Stegostoma tigrinum: one gene and its partner. The protein of the gene in region 1 purifies or fractionates together with the protein of each later gene. This does not show direct contact. Links are inferred from orthologs where the notes say so. Each region holds a gene or a part of one and is shown in the gene's direction. Other genes may lie near its edges.

Region 1 (7,969 bases):
ATGCAGCTTCACCTCTGGGGACTTGGCCCCTCCAGGACTCGCTCCAACCCGTGTCCGCTCTGCTGACTTCGTTCTGACCCATGCTCACTCCACTACGGTGTGCTCAGCTCCCGCCCAGTCACCGGAGGGATTCCTTTCTTCAGGTTAGAGTTAAATAGTTGAAGTTAAAAATAGTTAAATTTTGGGGGGGGTTGAGGGGGTGGGGAATACTGCAAAGGGGAGAGGGAGATAAAAAGAAAAGAAAAAAGAAAAGGAACTGGTGAGGAGAGGAACTCCAGCAGAGGAGTGTCTTAGCCTGCCACCATCTTGACCTGGTAAAGAGTCAACCACATGGTTGGAATCACATGTAGGCCAGGCAAGGTAAGGATACCAGATGTTCTTCAGGGTATTAGTGAATTATGGTGATTTTAATGACAATTGATAGTTGTTATACACAGCAAGCCTTTTATTCCGGACCATACTTCGCTATCTGCCATGTCCCAGAACATTTTCCCAGAGTTCTGCATTAGCCAAGTGAAATTATCAATATGCCATCACAACCCGCCCAAAAAAAGTGGATACCTGCAGACGGCAGAGATGTCTTTACTTGGGGAATCTCAAAGAACTTGTGAAGGAGAAAACATAAGGATGCACTGTTAGGACGAGATAAGGAAGGGGTGCGAGGAGTCTTGTGTAAGCAGAAAAACATGCACATGTCTAGTTGTCTAGTTTGGGGCTGAGAAGCCTGTTTCTTGTGCTGGAAATTCCATGTAATTCTGCTTTCTCCTTTTTAACTTGCTGAGGGTACTGGCTCCAGATGGAATCCAAACTCGCCATGGAATCAGTGACCTGACTGGGTTGCACACCTGTCACTGAGCCAGTTGTAGGTTGGTGGGTTCAAATCCAGCTCCCCAAGTTATGAGCACAAACAGTTGAGGCCAAATCCTTAGAGAGCACCAGTCGTGTCAGTAAGTGTTAGCGTGCTAGGTCTTTTGGTCTAGGCCTGTCAGAATAATCACACACTCTCTCTCTGTCGGCACTGATAGAATTAAAGGCCAGTAAACGCAAAAGTAGTCCTTGTAGCTCATCAGATCTGTTCATGTTGCACATTTGGTTTAAAAACAAAAGCAAATGTGTTGCTTGATCCTGACTTTTGCTATTGTTGGGAAGAGATGTATTTACTCGCAAGTTTCTAACTGTTAACTGTCTCAGCTGAACTCAAGATATTTTTAAGTGCACAGGCCACTTTAACAGCAATACCTCACATTCATGTTTAACGTTCCAAGGCGCTTCACAGGACTGTTATGAGATGGAATTTTGACATTATAACTTGTAAAGAGATGTTGTGGTGGGTCGAACAAGAACTTAGTCAGTGTTTTAAGAAGCATCTTAAAGAAGCAAAATGAGAGGCAGAAAGGTTTAGGAAGGGATTTCCAGAGCCTGGGGCACAGAGAGGAAGGCTTGATTGTCACTGGCTGAACTATGGGAATTGATCATCTTCAAGAGACTGCAATTAGAGAAGTGCAGAGATCTTGAAGGGTTGGAGGACGTTGTAGAGGCAGGGAGAAATAAGGCCTTAGAAGCATTTGAAGACATGGATGCAAGTTTTAAAATCAAGGTGTAGCTGGACCTGGGAACAAGTTAGCTCAGCAAGCACAGAGGATGATGGGAAAGCCTTAAAAGAAGCTTATTGGTTTTTGAAGCTTGGAGGTTAATGCCCAATTGTGAGCACGTAACCCAGACTAACATTCCCAATGCAGTCCTGACAGAGTGCTCTGCTGTCAGGTGTTCCTTTATTTGAATAAGATGCCTTCTTCTTATGATGATGCAAATCATCTCATGATGTAATTAGGAAAGGGCAGCATGTTCTCTTCTTTCTCTAGGCTGACATTATCTCCATACCTAATGCCACCCAACAGATTATTTAGTTATTTATTAATATGTTTTTGGAGTCTTGTTGTGTGCTATTTTAGTTTTACATGATGCATTGTCAGTATTTGGAACACGCTGCCTGACAGTATGGTGGATAAAACTTGTAGCCTCCGCAATGAAAATGGATAAGTCAAAGGAGGAAAATAGCAGAGGTGTAGGAGGAAAGGGGTGTAGCAGGAGGGTGAAGGACCATTGAGATCGCTCATGAAGCATCCAGCAGAGACCTAATAGGGTGAGTGCCTTCTTCCATGCTGCATCATTCCATGATTCATCCTGTTGATTTTGCCACATCATTAAACCATCATGTTAATACTGTTAAACTGCATATTACAAAATGAATGTAGAAGCGTTGAAGAATGTACATTAAAAATTCATGGAGCTGATGGAAGACCTGAAAGGTTGAGGCTATCACTCAAAGCTAAATAGGCTGAATTTATTTTCTCTGATAACAGTACTGAGGATTTTAAAATTAGACAGGAATTTGGTAGAGTAGATGTAGAAAAGATGCTTGTGGGTGAGGCCAGAAATTAGGGCCATCTATATCAGACAACGAAAATAAATCAGGAATTTAGAAGAAACATCTTTACCCAGAGAGTGAGGAGGATGTGGAACTCACTCCCACAGGGAGCAGTCAAGGGGAATAGTATTAATAAATTGAAGAGGGGAATATGCTGATAGGGAGAGATGAAGAGGGGTTGGGAGGAGGCTTGTATGGAGCAGATATACAGATAGGCCAAGTAGATTGCTTCTGTCTTGCAAAGATGGGTTAATAGGGAAGAATATAAAAACAGTAAAAATATGTTGAAGAATCAAGAGGGGTGGGACTCAGTGATATTTTGACACGAATTAAAAATTAGAAAAGTCATTTACTTGTTGCCAAAGAATATATGTAGCTTTATGACTTGCTAAACACAGACTTAATTTCATTTCCGAATGAGATTTTCACAAAATTGGTTAGTTTCTAAATGATATTTTCACAGAATTGGATGTCATCCTGAATTCTCTAGTGACATCTCCAGATACTCCAGATAGCACTTATTTACAGAGTCCTTGTTGTTGTCAATTTGCTATAACAACACACAAATGCACTACCTAAAATCTGGATGTCAAAATCCAAGATTATGCATTTCAATCCCGAAATGGCGAAAAGAAAAAAAAGTACACATTTTCTTGGCACAAGCATTTTATTAATAAAGTATTCATAGATTATGGTACCTTAGTACCTGTTGGAATTAGTGTCACTTCTAAGTGAACAGGAGCCATGTTGCACTTGAAATGTTAACTCTCTTCCTGTCTTCACAAATGCTACCAGATTAGTTGAATTTCTCCAGCATTTGTAGTCTTTATTTTATATTAGTATCATTTGGTCGCATTCTCAGCTCCAAGTCAGTACGCCATGAGTTCAAATCTCACTTCAGGATTTGAACACGTAATCCATGTCAATACTAGAGCAAGGCATCAGGTGAGTGTTGAACTAATGGAGGGGTCATCTCTTGGATGATGCATTGCGATGTTAACTAATTATTTAAGTCAATGCAAATTATTCCCTCGCCATGATTTGAAGATGTGGGGGCTTTTCCTCAATGTCCATGCCAATACATTGTCCTCAACTAAAAGTACAAAAACCTGAGAAGTGGTTAATAAAGGAATTTCAGACATTTCTTTCTGGAACCTTTTGAATATGATCAAATTATACAAAAAAAGAAACTTTCTGGCTAAGAGTTGTATAATCCTGCAATTACATAACAAAGGTCAAAATTGTTTTGACAAAAACAAATTCGAAGTAATCTCTTCATGCAAAGCCTTAAACACTGAAACCATCTGCAAGGTAAAGAGAAATTGCTAGAAGTATGCAAACTTTGCTAATATTTTTGCTGTATGTCTTATCTTTTAGGATTGTCTTTTGAATGTCTGGGATTTTTTTAAATGTTGGGTATCTCTCCAGAGATGCACATACACAGGCAGACATTCCCACCTTCCATGTCGATGAAGATTCAGGCAAGTGCCAAAGCTTCTGGGTGCAGCCGAGTTAATGGAGCACTTTCACCAAAAAAGTGCATTTATATCATGCCCTTCACAACTTCAGAAGGGTACAAAGCTTTAGATAAATTTGAAGTGCAGTCACTGCTGCAACATAGGAAACACCACAGTAAATTGATGTAAGATAAGGTCCTGCAAACAGCAACGTGCTATTGACCAGATAATCTGGGGATAATTTTTGTTTGAGGGATAAATATTAGCTGGAGCTAATGAAGAGAACTCCCCTGCCCTTCTTTGAAACAGAGGTCATGGGATATTTTACGTCCCACTGAAGAGGTAGACGGTGTCATATTTTAATATAACATCTGAAAGATGGTACTTCTGACGAGGCAGTGCTTCCTCTGAAGCGCTGAGAAAGTCGGCTAGAATGTAGCGCTCAAATCTCTGCCAAGGGAATATAAAGTCACAGCCTGAGTGCTACTCACTGAGCCACCAGACATGAATCCCTTGGGAGCAATGTTGCACCAAATATATTGTTTCTGCTGCTTTAATACAGTGTCCAACAAATTGGGGCCATCAGTTTTTTTAGGTTTGAAGTGGAAAATAACATTGCCAGTGGGACTTTTTAAAAAAAAATGCTGTTTCTTTTGGTTCGCGGGAAAATTTTGGAGATGAGATAGGGGACAATTTTTTTTAACAAGTTGCTGTGAGGACCCAGGGACATTGAGGAGAGGAAAGAAGCGGGCATCTTTCTTCGAACTGGGTAGGAAATGTTTGAGCATGAAAAGAAGAAGGAAGATGCTCATGTTTGACCGAGCAGAGAGGACCAAAATATAAGTTGAAAGTTGACCTTGAAGGTGTTTATCATGATGTTAATGAATCAGGAGCAATAGGGCCAAAAGGAGGCTGACCACCCTCACCAACTTGACTGAAAAATGGCAATTGCTGGACATCCCCTGGTTACTTGGTTAAAGACCCACGTGAGTCAGTCCTAACTAGTTAAACTGGTGCTATTATGGGATGCAGGGTGCCCATAGCAACGGGAGGGGGTGACGTCAATCTGAGCATGAGCACTGATTAATTTTCCACCTTTTTTCTCTTCAAATTCCCCCCCCACCAAATTTCATAATGGGGGGGTGGAAAATATTTTGGACGCCATCTTTTCTTCCCCTTGTATATTAAAACATTTTTGAGGGGGTTTGGTTAAGTAGCTTGGAACTTTTTCCTTAAGAAAGGGAAGGGGGGGTCTTTAAATTGAAAACTAGCGAAGGAGAGAGATCTGATCTTTACAGGAAACCCTCACACAAAAACAAAAGTCTGTAGGATAACTTTTGTTTGTGTGTATAGGGGAAAAAATAGAAACCGTTGGGGGGGGGGGGTGTTCCCGAAGAAAGACTGGCGTAGCTTTCGTTATTTTGTGTACATATATGAAAAGGGAAGGGGGGAGAGGAAAGAGAGTGAGGAAATATATTTTTATTGAGTGAGTAGGGAGGGGTGGGCGAAATTCCTGAGGCCATGGCATCTCCAGTGAGGCACCCAGAAGAGGAGGAGGATGAGGAGGACATGGACGAACGCAGCGGCGCCGGTTTGCAGCTTTTCCCGCCAGCGGCAGGTTAGCGCGCGCGCCGCTTTCCCCGGGGCCGCTTCTAAAAGCTATTTTTCTCCCAACCCCAAAATTGCAAAAACCTTTCGACATTAAGTGCTCGGGTAGAATGCACGAGGGGCGGAGGGCTGCAATGGCAATATGGCATCTCTTCCCTTCACCCCCACGAATTATTTTTTTCCACACCCACAGCCCCCCTCCCCGTGCAGTCGTTTGTGTTTTTTTTCTCATCTCTCAATATTTGGTTGGTGTCCTCTCCGACGCCGGCGTTTTATTTTTCTTTCGGTTTGGCCGGCTGCACGCGTTAAAGCTATTTTTCTTTTGGGAATGTTCCCCCCCCCCCCGGATTGTTGGCTTGCAGCGGCCGTAAAGTTCATTCTCTTTCTCGCGCCGTTTAAACCCTCACTCCTCCTCCCGCTCCCTGTGCCCTCAGACGCGGCTCCTGCTGCAAGTGGAAGCCCGAGCCCCGGGGGCCGCGCGCTCCTTGTGCTAACGGCCGCGCCTGTCAATCAAACGCTGCTGCTACAACAACAACCCGCCGAGGGGGCGAGTGACAGACAAGACACAGAGAGAGAGAAGCACGATCTCCCGGCGAAACAAACCTTCCTTTTTCCGACCCCCACCCTCGACAATATCTGTGTAAATACCCCCCCACCCGGGGCGGACTTTAAATTTTCTCTTTGTGTGCTCCTCTTGTGAGCTCCACGGATGTTTTCATCTGAGGTAATAAACCCCCCCCCTTCACCATAGGTGCGATTTATATCTTTGTGATATCCTCAATTGCTCGTTGTTTGCCCTGTCTTCCTCTTCCTCCTCCCCCCACAATAAGATCGGCTGCCAGTTTGTTTAGTTGCCCATTTATCCTTCTTTTCTCCTCCTTTCGCGCCCCCCCCAAAAAAAAACAAAGCCGGCGGCCGCCATTTTCTCGCTCGGCGGCGGCTCCCTTTAACTCTTTCACTGCCCCGACACCAGCCTTCCTCCACGTACAGCATCTGCTCTCCCCAACTGATCCGCCTCAGAGGCATGTGGAGCTGAGACACACCTTCTCCCCCGCCAAACGGTAACTTTTTGAACAGTGGAATATCTTGGAATGTCCCGATGGCCAGCTCCTGTTCCAAGACCCTGAACTCACCATCCTCACCCTCTCTTCCTTAACCCAGTACATCCTTCTCCACGCTTTTCCGTTATTCCTGATTTTTTTTAAAATTTCTGTGTGCCCCTATTCTACCGCTGCAGCAGCTGCGTTGGTTTTCTAATGGTCCCCAGTGCTGGCTGATCCCTGGATGCTTTCTATCGAAGCATAATTCATATATTAAAAGAACACTTAAGTAGAGAACAGGGTGCCGAGCTGGATGAACACAGCAGGCCGGGCAGCATCACAGAAGCAGGAAAGCTGACATTTCGGGTCTGGACCCTTCTTCAGAAAATTGCATTAATTGGCTGTGATCTGGTTGAAGGGCAGAGCAGGCTCTAAGCCGAATGGCAACCTCTAAGTACTTAAGGCCTTGGTGTTTAATGCTGCCGAATTGAAACAGTTGCACATTTCTTGTTTCAGCAGAAGATGTGGAAGAGGAGGACGAAGAGATTTCAGACAGTGAAAGTACCAAAAAGAAGAAGAAGAAATTCCTGAAAAAACAAAAGGAAAATAAACCAACTAAGCTGAAGAAGCGGAAGAAATTGGTGAGTAGCAGCAAGTTCTCTGGTTATTCACCCTGCAGCTAGATATTTTCCAGTTGACCTGTTCAGTCATATTATGATGTACCTCTGGAGCAGTTGGTATTTGCTCCAAATGGTATTTGTTCCTTCTGACCCAGAGATACCAGTGAACCCCAATGGCCCTTCCCATTAGAAAACGTATGCTGCAGGACTAAAAAATGGATCTTCCATGTAGCCTATTCTGCCACCTTGCCACCGCACCACCTCCTTTTGAGGACGAAGCTGGATGGAAAAAAGAATCGCCGTGTGCTCCATTAGCCATGCAGGGGATGATGGAGTAGACAAACTGAAACCCTAACCCATTAAAAATCCATTGACTTTCCATATTAGCAGATGTTCACCTGCACATCTGCCAATGTGGTATACTGTATCCACTGCACCCGGTGTGGCTACCTCTACATTGGGGAAACCAAGCGGAGGCTTGGGGACCACTTTGCTGAACACCTCTGCTCAGTTTGCAATAAACAACTGCACCTCCCAGTCACGAACCATTTTAACTCTCTCTTCTCCCCCCCCCCCCCTTCCTCAGACGACATGTCCATCGTGGGCCTCCTGCAGTGCCACAATGATGCCACCTGAAGGTTGCAGGAACAGCAACTCATATTCCGCTTGGGAACCCTGCAGCCCAATGGTATCAATGTGGACTTCATAAGCTTCAAAATCTCCCCTCCACCCACTGCATCCCAAAACCAGCCCAGCTCGTCCCCGCCTCCCTAACCTGTTCTTCCTGTCACCTATCCCTTCCTCCCTCCTCAAGCC
Region 2 (7,504 bases), on another chromosome or scaffold:
CTTTGCAAAATAAATAGCCGCGAGAAAATATCTAAATGACACATATAGAGCAGCTTTGGTATTTGGGTCTAATCCTTTAGACAATTTAAGGGAAACAAATGAGAAAAAATATGTTTGGTACAACTGGTTGTAAGGTTTCTTTAAGGAAGATGTAGTTTGCAATGGATGATTTCTAGGTTTTGGTAGTGGAGACCAAAATGCTCAATATATATCTAAGCTAATGAAAGGTACTTGTTTTCATGTCATTTGGTGGAAGCCAAAATCCAGTTTTACTAGTTTTTTTCACACCTGGACGGCAAGGCGGGGGAGGGGAGAGGGAACGCAATACAAATCCAGCTACAGACAAAACAATCTTTGTTGTGCTACTACCTCTCGGTTGCCTGTCTCATCTTGAACAAAGGCAATGAATATTATAGCACCAGATCCATATGTATAACAGAGCACACAGCATGCATGCCACCAATTACGTTTGGATTGTACAGCAGGGGCATTTCAAACGCTACACTTTCTCACTCAATTTTGTATGCCAAGACACAGATCTTTTGTTCGCGATTAGTTTTGGTACAAAGCCTACACGATTTGCACTTCTGAATATAGTGCAAACGTCATCTGAACGCTTTCTGCTCAAGTGCCTCCTAATATGTGGGATGGAATATGGAAGCTTGTAATTGACACTCATTTTTACTGGCAAGCGCTGGCACGTCTTCAAGACTGTGCAGACAATACTGAAAACATCGCTAAGTTCGCCTTTTTCAATGGGTGCTGCGACGAACCTGTGCAATAAAGCTCGCTGGAACTGTGGTAAAGAGAAAATATTTGAAGGAAAGTGGTTTCGTCTTGCAAATAGATCCGTCTTGTCAACAGACAGACTTCAAACAGTGCAGCCACTTTAATATAGTGGAAGTCACATGCCACAACTGTCCACTGCGTTCAAATGCTTCTTCAAATTTATTGTCCCTTATATTAAAACGCGCTTCGAAGTTAAACGTCACAGGGTGATCAATTAGTTACTCAACAATTAGTTGTTGCATTGCAAACCAAAAACTCTGACTTTATCTTCCTGACAACTGAATTAAACTTCCGAATTATGCAAGCTGTTGACCACTGACCGCAGAAGCTATGTAGATTATGCGAAACATTTGATTACAATCAGCAACAACAAGGCGCTGATCACCGAGCAAAGGTTGGCGGCGGCGCTAGGGGTACTCCTGCAAGTCCCGGACAGAAAACAAAGGTTATATATATATATATATATATATAAAGTACATTTGCTGAATGATCTAAGAGACGGGGGGTAAAAATAATGACAAAGCAGCAGAAGGATTTGATTTATTTTGCGAATGGATCGAGACTGCTAATGTCTGATCATTTACATATTGAAATGCGACCAAGCGGACACTCAATTTTCCTGCCCATGTTTTGCACATGGCTCTCTCGATTTTCAAGCAGCCAGGTTACCTCGCAACGCCCCTTGAGGAGGTCAGGCGGTCGATTCCGCGTTGATCAATTTTGACTGCAAGGCATCAACATTATGAAAAACACCCTGGCACCAGATGGAGCGAGGTCTAGGTAAAGGTCAAGGTTAGCTCAGCCTGCTATTGAATCGGCTGCGTGATAGATCGTTGACTCGCTTTGCTCGGAGGCACCCATAGGGGTTTCTGAGAATAAAAGGAGTCACAAGTGAAACGCTCCGATGCTGCTCTGAATGCTAAAATAATTATTCGGATGCATTAAAAACGAGTAGCCAAATTCTTCCATAAGAAAACACACGCGCAGATAGGTGCTGGGAACATTTTATTAAGCATATCAGTCTGACTTCGAATACCCAACTCCAGTCATTGACTACATTACTTAAAGTTAGTCACTGAGCTAATCAAAAGATGGAATTAATTCCTTCATTACGGATTTGTCCATGAAGTGGTCGTGAAATTACCGAATGCGTCGATACTCCCTCCACCCCACCCCCCAACTCCCTCTCCTCAGTCTCTTCCAGGCACTCGATCGGATCTCTCCGTGCTGGGTCCGAGTTTCACTGGGCAGACATTACACACAAAAGTTACTCATGTATCCGCGCCGGTAGTTTTAATCAGGAAAGAGTGGAGGAGAGGCGCGCGGCGGCGGCGGGCAGGGGGTGAATGTATGTGTTTGTGTGTTGGGAGGAGGGGGGCGGGCGGTGGGTGTCTGTACATTTTTATTTGACTGCGACTTGGCAATAATTGGATTCGCGAACTCACTTCATAACTACTGGACAAGATGGTAGATAAAAGGCGACCAGGTTAGCAGCCAGCTTCCAGATGCAGATTAGATCAGAAATAATTTTGCATTAGAAGTGGGGGAGGTCTGCTGGAAGGAACTTGGCTCTGGCAGTTCGGCAGCGCTTTGCCCTCGCTCCCTATAAATTTACCGAACCCTTTTCCTGTAGAAAACCGCACGGTTCGAAAACAAAACAACCTACAGTCATTTGGAATCCTTGCAGATGGGAAATGTACTTTTACCGTTTTAACAGAAGTGCCATCCACCTCGGGTTAAGAGTTATAAAACCATTTTGTTTTACATCCATGACTTTAAGTAACCTAACTTCCTCGTGTGAGACGGACGGTACAGCTGCAACCGCAGATCTTATCTGATCGTTGAGTGTTAAGAGTAAAAATAGTTAACCCTTCAACCACTTGCTACAGCTGGTGAAAAGAAAAAAATGGCGCAGTTTCTGTTAACATATCGCACCATTGATCGCAATGAGTTCAATTTCACTTCTGCCTGAAATCTTTTGCTAGCCATATTCACGTCTAGGGCCCTCCAGCTAAAAGTATTTATACTCCACAAAAAAAAGCACCATCATACACACAAGGTTACGTCTGGGGAGCACAATACTTATACTTCATGGAAACAATGACTTAAAACGCCTCTGAAATCTTCCATATTCTACGGTTCCTGTTGCATCAGTACAAATTTATAGTACAGCACAAGTTTTAAAAACAAGATTCTTCAAGCTACCTATTCCGATAGTTATCTCGCTGAAGTCTGCAATCATGCACTCGAGAGACAAAATTCTTTCTTATTTACGATTTTCTAATTGCAAAGCATGTTACACGATTTTTTTCTAGTTTGTTGTGCAGATTTTATTTTAAATAAACATGGAAGGGCAGATTTATAAAAAAACTGTTATGTTATATTGATTGACTAGACTTTCAGCCATCACATTTAATCAAACCATCCAAGTATCACCAAGGGCAACAGAATTATCATAAAATCATTTTCCTTTAAAAAAATCGTGTGCTTGAAATGTTATTACATTTTTTAAAATAAAACGGTCGATGCAGGTGCAAAATCTTCAAAGGTTACTCGAAAACTCCTTTTCTCACCTCGCATAAATGAACAGGGCCGTATGTGTATCTTGAAATGAGAAGCAGCATTGCTATTTTAAACATAATTTGCATTCAACTCCAATACCTGCAACTAAAGTACCTGCAAATCCATTGAAAAACGAGAATGAACTGTGTGAAGATCAATTATCAAGCCGTTCTCGGTTTAACATACTGTATAGAAGAGCGACACAAAGGGTAGAAAAATAATAGGATTAACATTTTCACTTCATATTATATATTCACGTTACTTCAAGCATTTCCACGGTCTTGTGAATTATCCGCCAATAAGTAACTGAAAACAGCAGAGATGCGAATAACAGGTAACGCTAAGGAAATAGATAGTCGAGGACACTTCCTTTTATTCCACAAACTAAACATAATATAACGTTATGTTTATAAAGCACATAAGCACAGAAAGAGTCAGCAACCTTCAGGAGCAGTTGCTTTTGTCATAGAAAGTGAAAGAAGGCAGTAGACATGATTTATGATTTTAATTTAAAATAATATACAAATGTAAATATCTACGCTCTATCCAGCTGTTTGGATTCACGTGTACGCTATCGAATTTCAGTGGGCTGCAAATTCTAATACTCATTTGGGTATTTACACCATAAAATACTTTACAAACCTTGTTTATTCCCCCTATCACCACTACACATAATTAACTTTATGAATAATGTCAACCTTTTCGGACGTGGTTGGCAATCATAACGGGGACACAAAAACAAACGCGGAGTGCATGTGCGTTCCCCTTCCTGATGTCCTGCACGGGTTGTCCAGCGCAAATGTCTCATCACTTGCCCAGTTCTGGCCAGCAAGCGTTGCGCCCATGAGTTGCCAGCAGTTTGGGCTGGCACAGAAAGAGAGAGAGAGAGAGTTGGGAGCGGTGTGGAGGGGAGCGCGGTTGGAGTGGCTTTCAGAGAGAGAAGGCGGTGGTGTGTGTGTGAAGGGGAAGGGGGTGGTGGTGTGTAGATGGTGGTGGTGGTGTGGGGGGGGGGGGGGTGGTGGGAGCGGTTGCAGCGGTAGGCGGATGATGGATTGATTGGAAGCTGCTGGAAGCTGCGCCTATTGGATGCCTGGGACTGAGAGTGAGTGTGAGTGTGTGTTAGTGAGACTCTGTGTGAGCAGTGGGGTTTGTCCGGCCCCGTGTCCCTGGGTATGTATCATTGGCTTGCTCTCTCCTCTCGCCCTGCCCAGCCACCTCCTGACGTTCAAGTTCGCGGGCACGTCACGTACGCACTTGAACTTGGTCGTTTTAAAGCCATGACGGCTATCCCACAATCCATCTCCATCCGCCATCTTTGTATTATTTCTAATTTATTTTATGTCAAGCCATTGATGAAGATATTTTCTCTGGAGTCTCCTTCTTCCCGCTCCCGATGTGACCGAGCATGTCTCGCCGCAAGCAAGGCAACCCTCAGCACTTGAGTAAACGGGAATTTTCACGTGAGTAGCTTTCAAATTTTTTTTTGTTCCACTTTTTTTGGGAAAAAAACATATTTAAAAATAAAGCGCTCCGTTGAAAGTGCAGGGAAGAAGAAGAAAGATCTTCCCCGGCGGCCCCCCCGCAACCCACCCCTCTCTCTGGTGAGGTGCCGGCAGCAGCAGCGGCGCCGGGGCTCGATCGGTCAGCGCTTTGACCGGACTCCTGACAGCAAGTGGCCGGACTGAGGGGCAGAGCAGCTGCAGGGATCTGAGCCTCCCAAGTGTCCGGCTCCAGATCCGCTCAAATTCTCTTATCCACCTTTCCCCCCTCCGTCACCTCCATACACAAACAAAAATCCTCCACATGCCAAGGAGGGTGGGGGGTGGAAAACAACAGAAGAAATCAGAATAAACTCCTCAGGAGGTGAGGGGCAACGAAACTGTAAGGAAGAAACTCAACAAGAGTCCAAAAAAAGTGCCGATACCCCTCCCGCCCCCTCCTCTCCGGACACTCGGCGCTGGCTTTGCAGCTTTGATCGCGCCGCCCCTCAAAGGGCATCAGTCCCCGAGCCCCATCCGTCTTCCACCCCCCCCCACCTCCCCCGCCAAAAAAATTTAAACTTATTCCCTCTCCTTCCTCCTTCCTTCGGAAGCCGGGAAATCGTCTCATACTCGCTCGCAAGTTTAATTCACCGCTTAACTTCTCCCGCTTTCCCTCCTCTTACTATTTTTTGGAAGATTTTCAAAAAAAATCTGGAAGTAGATTGTGATTGGGAAAAATCTCGTGCTTGAATGTTTACAACAAGCTGCAGCTCCGCGTGTGCGGAAACCTCATGGAAAAAAAACCCAGCGCCGACGCTCTCACATTTTGCAGCGTTTCGCAAATCCCCTCCCAGAACTATTAAGTCTAATTAATAATTTTGTTTTGAAGAGTCACAAACTCCGCTGTAAACCCCGGGTGTTAGCGTTGCTGTCCTCGGGCAGACACGCGGAACTCTCGGGGCTGACCGAGCTGCGGGTGTCAGTCAGTCCGGGCGCGCACACGTGCGATCCGCCAGATCGGGGAGAGGGGGGAAGAGATCCTGAGGAGTGGGAGGCCGGAGAGTGGGAGCCCGGGCGTAGACGGAACACGGGGATAGAGATCCTGGAACTGGGGGAGAGGAAGCCCGGGTAGAGGGACCCCGGAGCGAGGTGGGATCGGTATAACTGAATGAGAGATCTTGGAGACGGGTGGTGGGGGTTGGCGGAGGTATGTTGCTGGAGAAAGAGAGAGCCCGGAGCTGGACGGAGAGATTCGGGAGTCCGGGGGGGGGGGTGGAGGAGGGCGGCGGGAAGGTCGGGGTGGGGGGTGATGTGGGTGGTGAGGTAGAGACGCCAGAGTTTTTGGATACACTAGTCAGAGAGAGAGAGAGAGAGAGAGAGATATCCCGGAGCCGTGGGGGTGGGGAGAAATAGATGGGGAGGGAGAGAGAGAGAGAGACCCGGCAGCACAAGAGAAGGGGAGAGCGGGAGATCTATGGGCGGTGGGGGAGAGAGAGAGAGCGAGAGCCTGGGGAACGACAACCCGGTGGACGGAGTTGGGAGAGAGTCCAGCTCCCGGCACCGAGATCCCGTGGGGCAGGGGAGTCCGGGTCCCGGACTCCGTTCCCACACACGTTCGGAAGGAAGTTATTAACAGCCCCACCCCACCCCCCGGAATGTTAAGCACACTGTTTGGGGAGAGGGAGTTTTTAGCTTTGGTTTTTGTGAAAATGAGACTTTGTTCCTGTTGGGGGAAAGCCGCAGGTTTGTTGTCAGATTTTCCAGTGTTGCCGTCATCTCTGAGATTGCGATCGGCCAGTTCCTGGGCTTTCACATTGAAATCCAACAGAGCGAGCAAACTGGCGAGAATTGAAAAGAAATACCTGGCGAATAAAGTATAGTTAAAACTGTAGTGTGGGAGTTTCTTTCGCGTTTAAAACCCGTTTTTCATAATTCAGTGATTGTGGGAAAATGTATTTATAAGCCAGACAGTGGAGGAAAAATAAGGCGATTCGTCTTGTCGATAGAAATCGCGGACTTTTGGCTTTCTGAATATTTTCTGTTTTGCCAAGTCCCCGTTGAATCGTCTCAATGTAGAATATTGGGTCTAAACGGAAGATGTATCAAGGTTGTTTAAAGTGTGCGTGAGGGACTGAAGGGAGAGGGGTCGATGCTGCGCGCTTGTGTCGCTAGGAGGCAGAGTAACATCAAAAACAAGCCCAGGCTGCAACCTGCGCAAACTTCCAACACCATTTCCTAGCGACTGCTCTCAGATCTTCCTCCTTGTCCTCCCCCGCCGACCAAAAAAAGCAAATTAAACGAAACCGACCCCATCCCAAACACACTCTGCTTTACTGGCTGTTTTCCATCCGATATTCTTCCAGGTAAAAGGGCTAAGTCTGATGCCGAGCTTCACCTGCACGAGGGCTCGACGCATCGGAATTATTGTTGAAGTTCGTTGAGTTCAGGCATTATTCTAAACAAAAGCAATCAATTAAAAAAACTAAATAATAACACAGCTTACCCCTTCCCCGTTAAAAAGCTTGGAGAAAAAGGAAACAATTTTTAAAAAAATCAGTTCAGTTAATGATACAGAAGCAAAGTTTGTTCAATAACAGCAGCTAGTTGTTTGCTCTAAAGAATATTTTGCTTTGACCCACGTGTGTGTGATGATTGCATTTTTTAAAATTTTG

The links.
Region 2: the proteins of chd3 (region 1) and bcl11aa purify together in Homo sapiens (affinity purification with mass spectrometry; 3 studies listed by BioGRID). This does not show direct contact. The link is inferred for Stegostoma tigrinum from reciprocal best matches to the Homo sapiens genes CHD3 and BCL11A.

Annotation. Positions count from the first base shown.
Region 1 is NC_081398.1:14,308,331-14,316,299, forward strand, and holds the start of chd3 (chromodomain-helicase-DNA-binding protein 3), read left to right. Parts: upstream 1-4,967; 5' UTR 4,968-5,406; coding exon 5,407-5,503; intron 5,504-7,049; coding exon 7,050-7,174; intron 7,175-7,969.
Region 2 is NC_081362.1:41,927,597-41,935,100, forward strand, and holds the start of bcl11aa (BCL11 transcription factor A a), read left to right. Parts: upstream 1-4,502; 5' UTR 4,503-4,756; coding exon 4,757-4,811; intron 4,812-7,504. UniProt on the Homo sapiens protein: Transcription factor. Associated with the BAF SWI/SNF chromatin remodeling complex. Binds to the 5'-TGACCA-3' sequence motif in regulatory regions of target genes, including a distal promoter of the HBG1 hemoglobin subunit gamma-1 gene.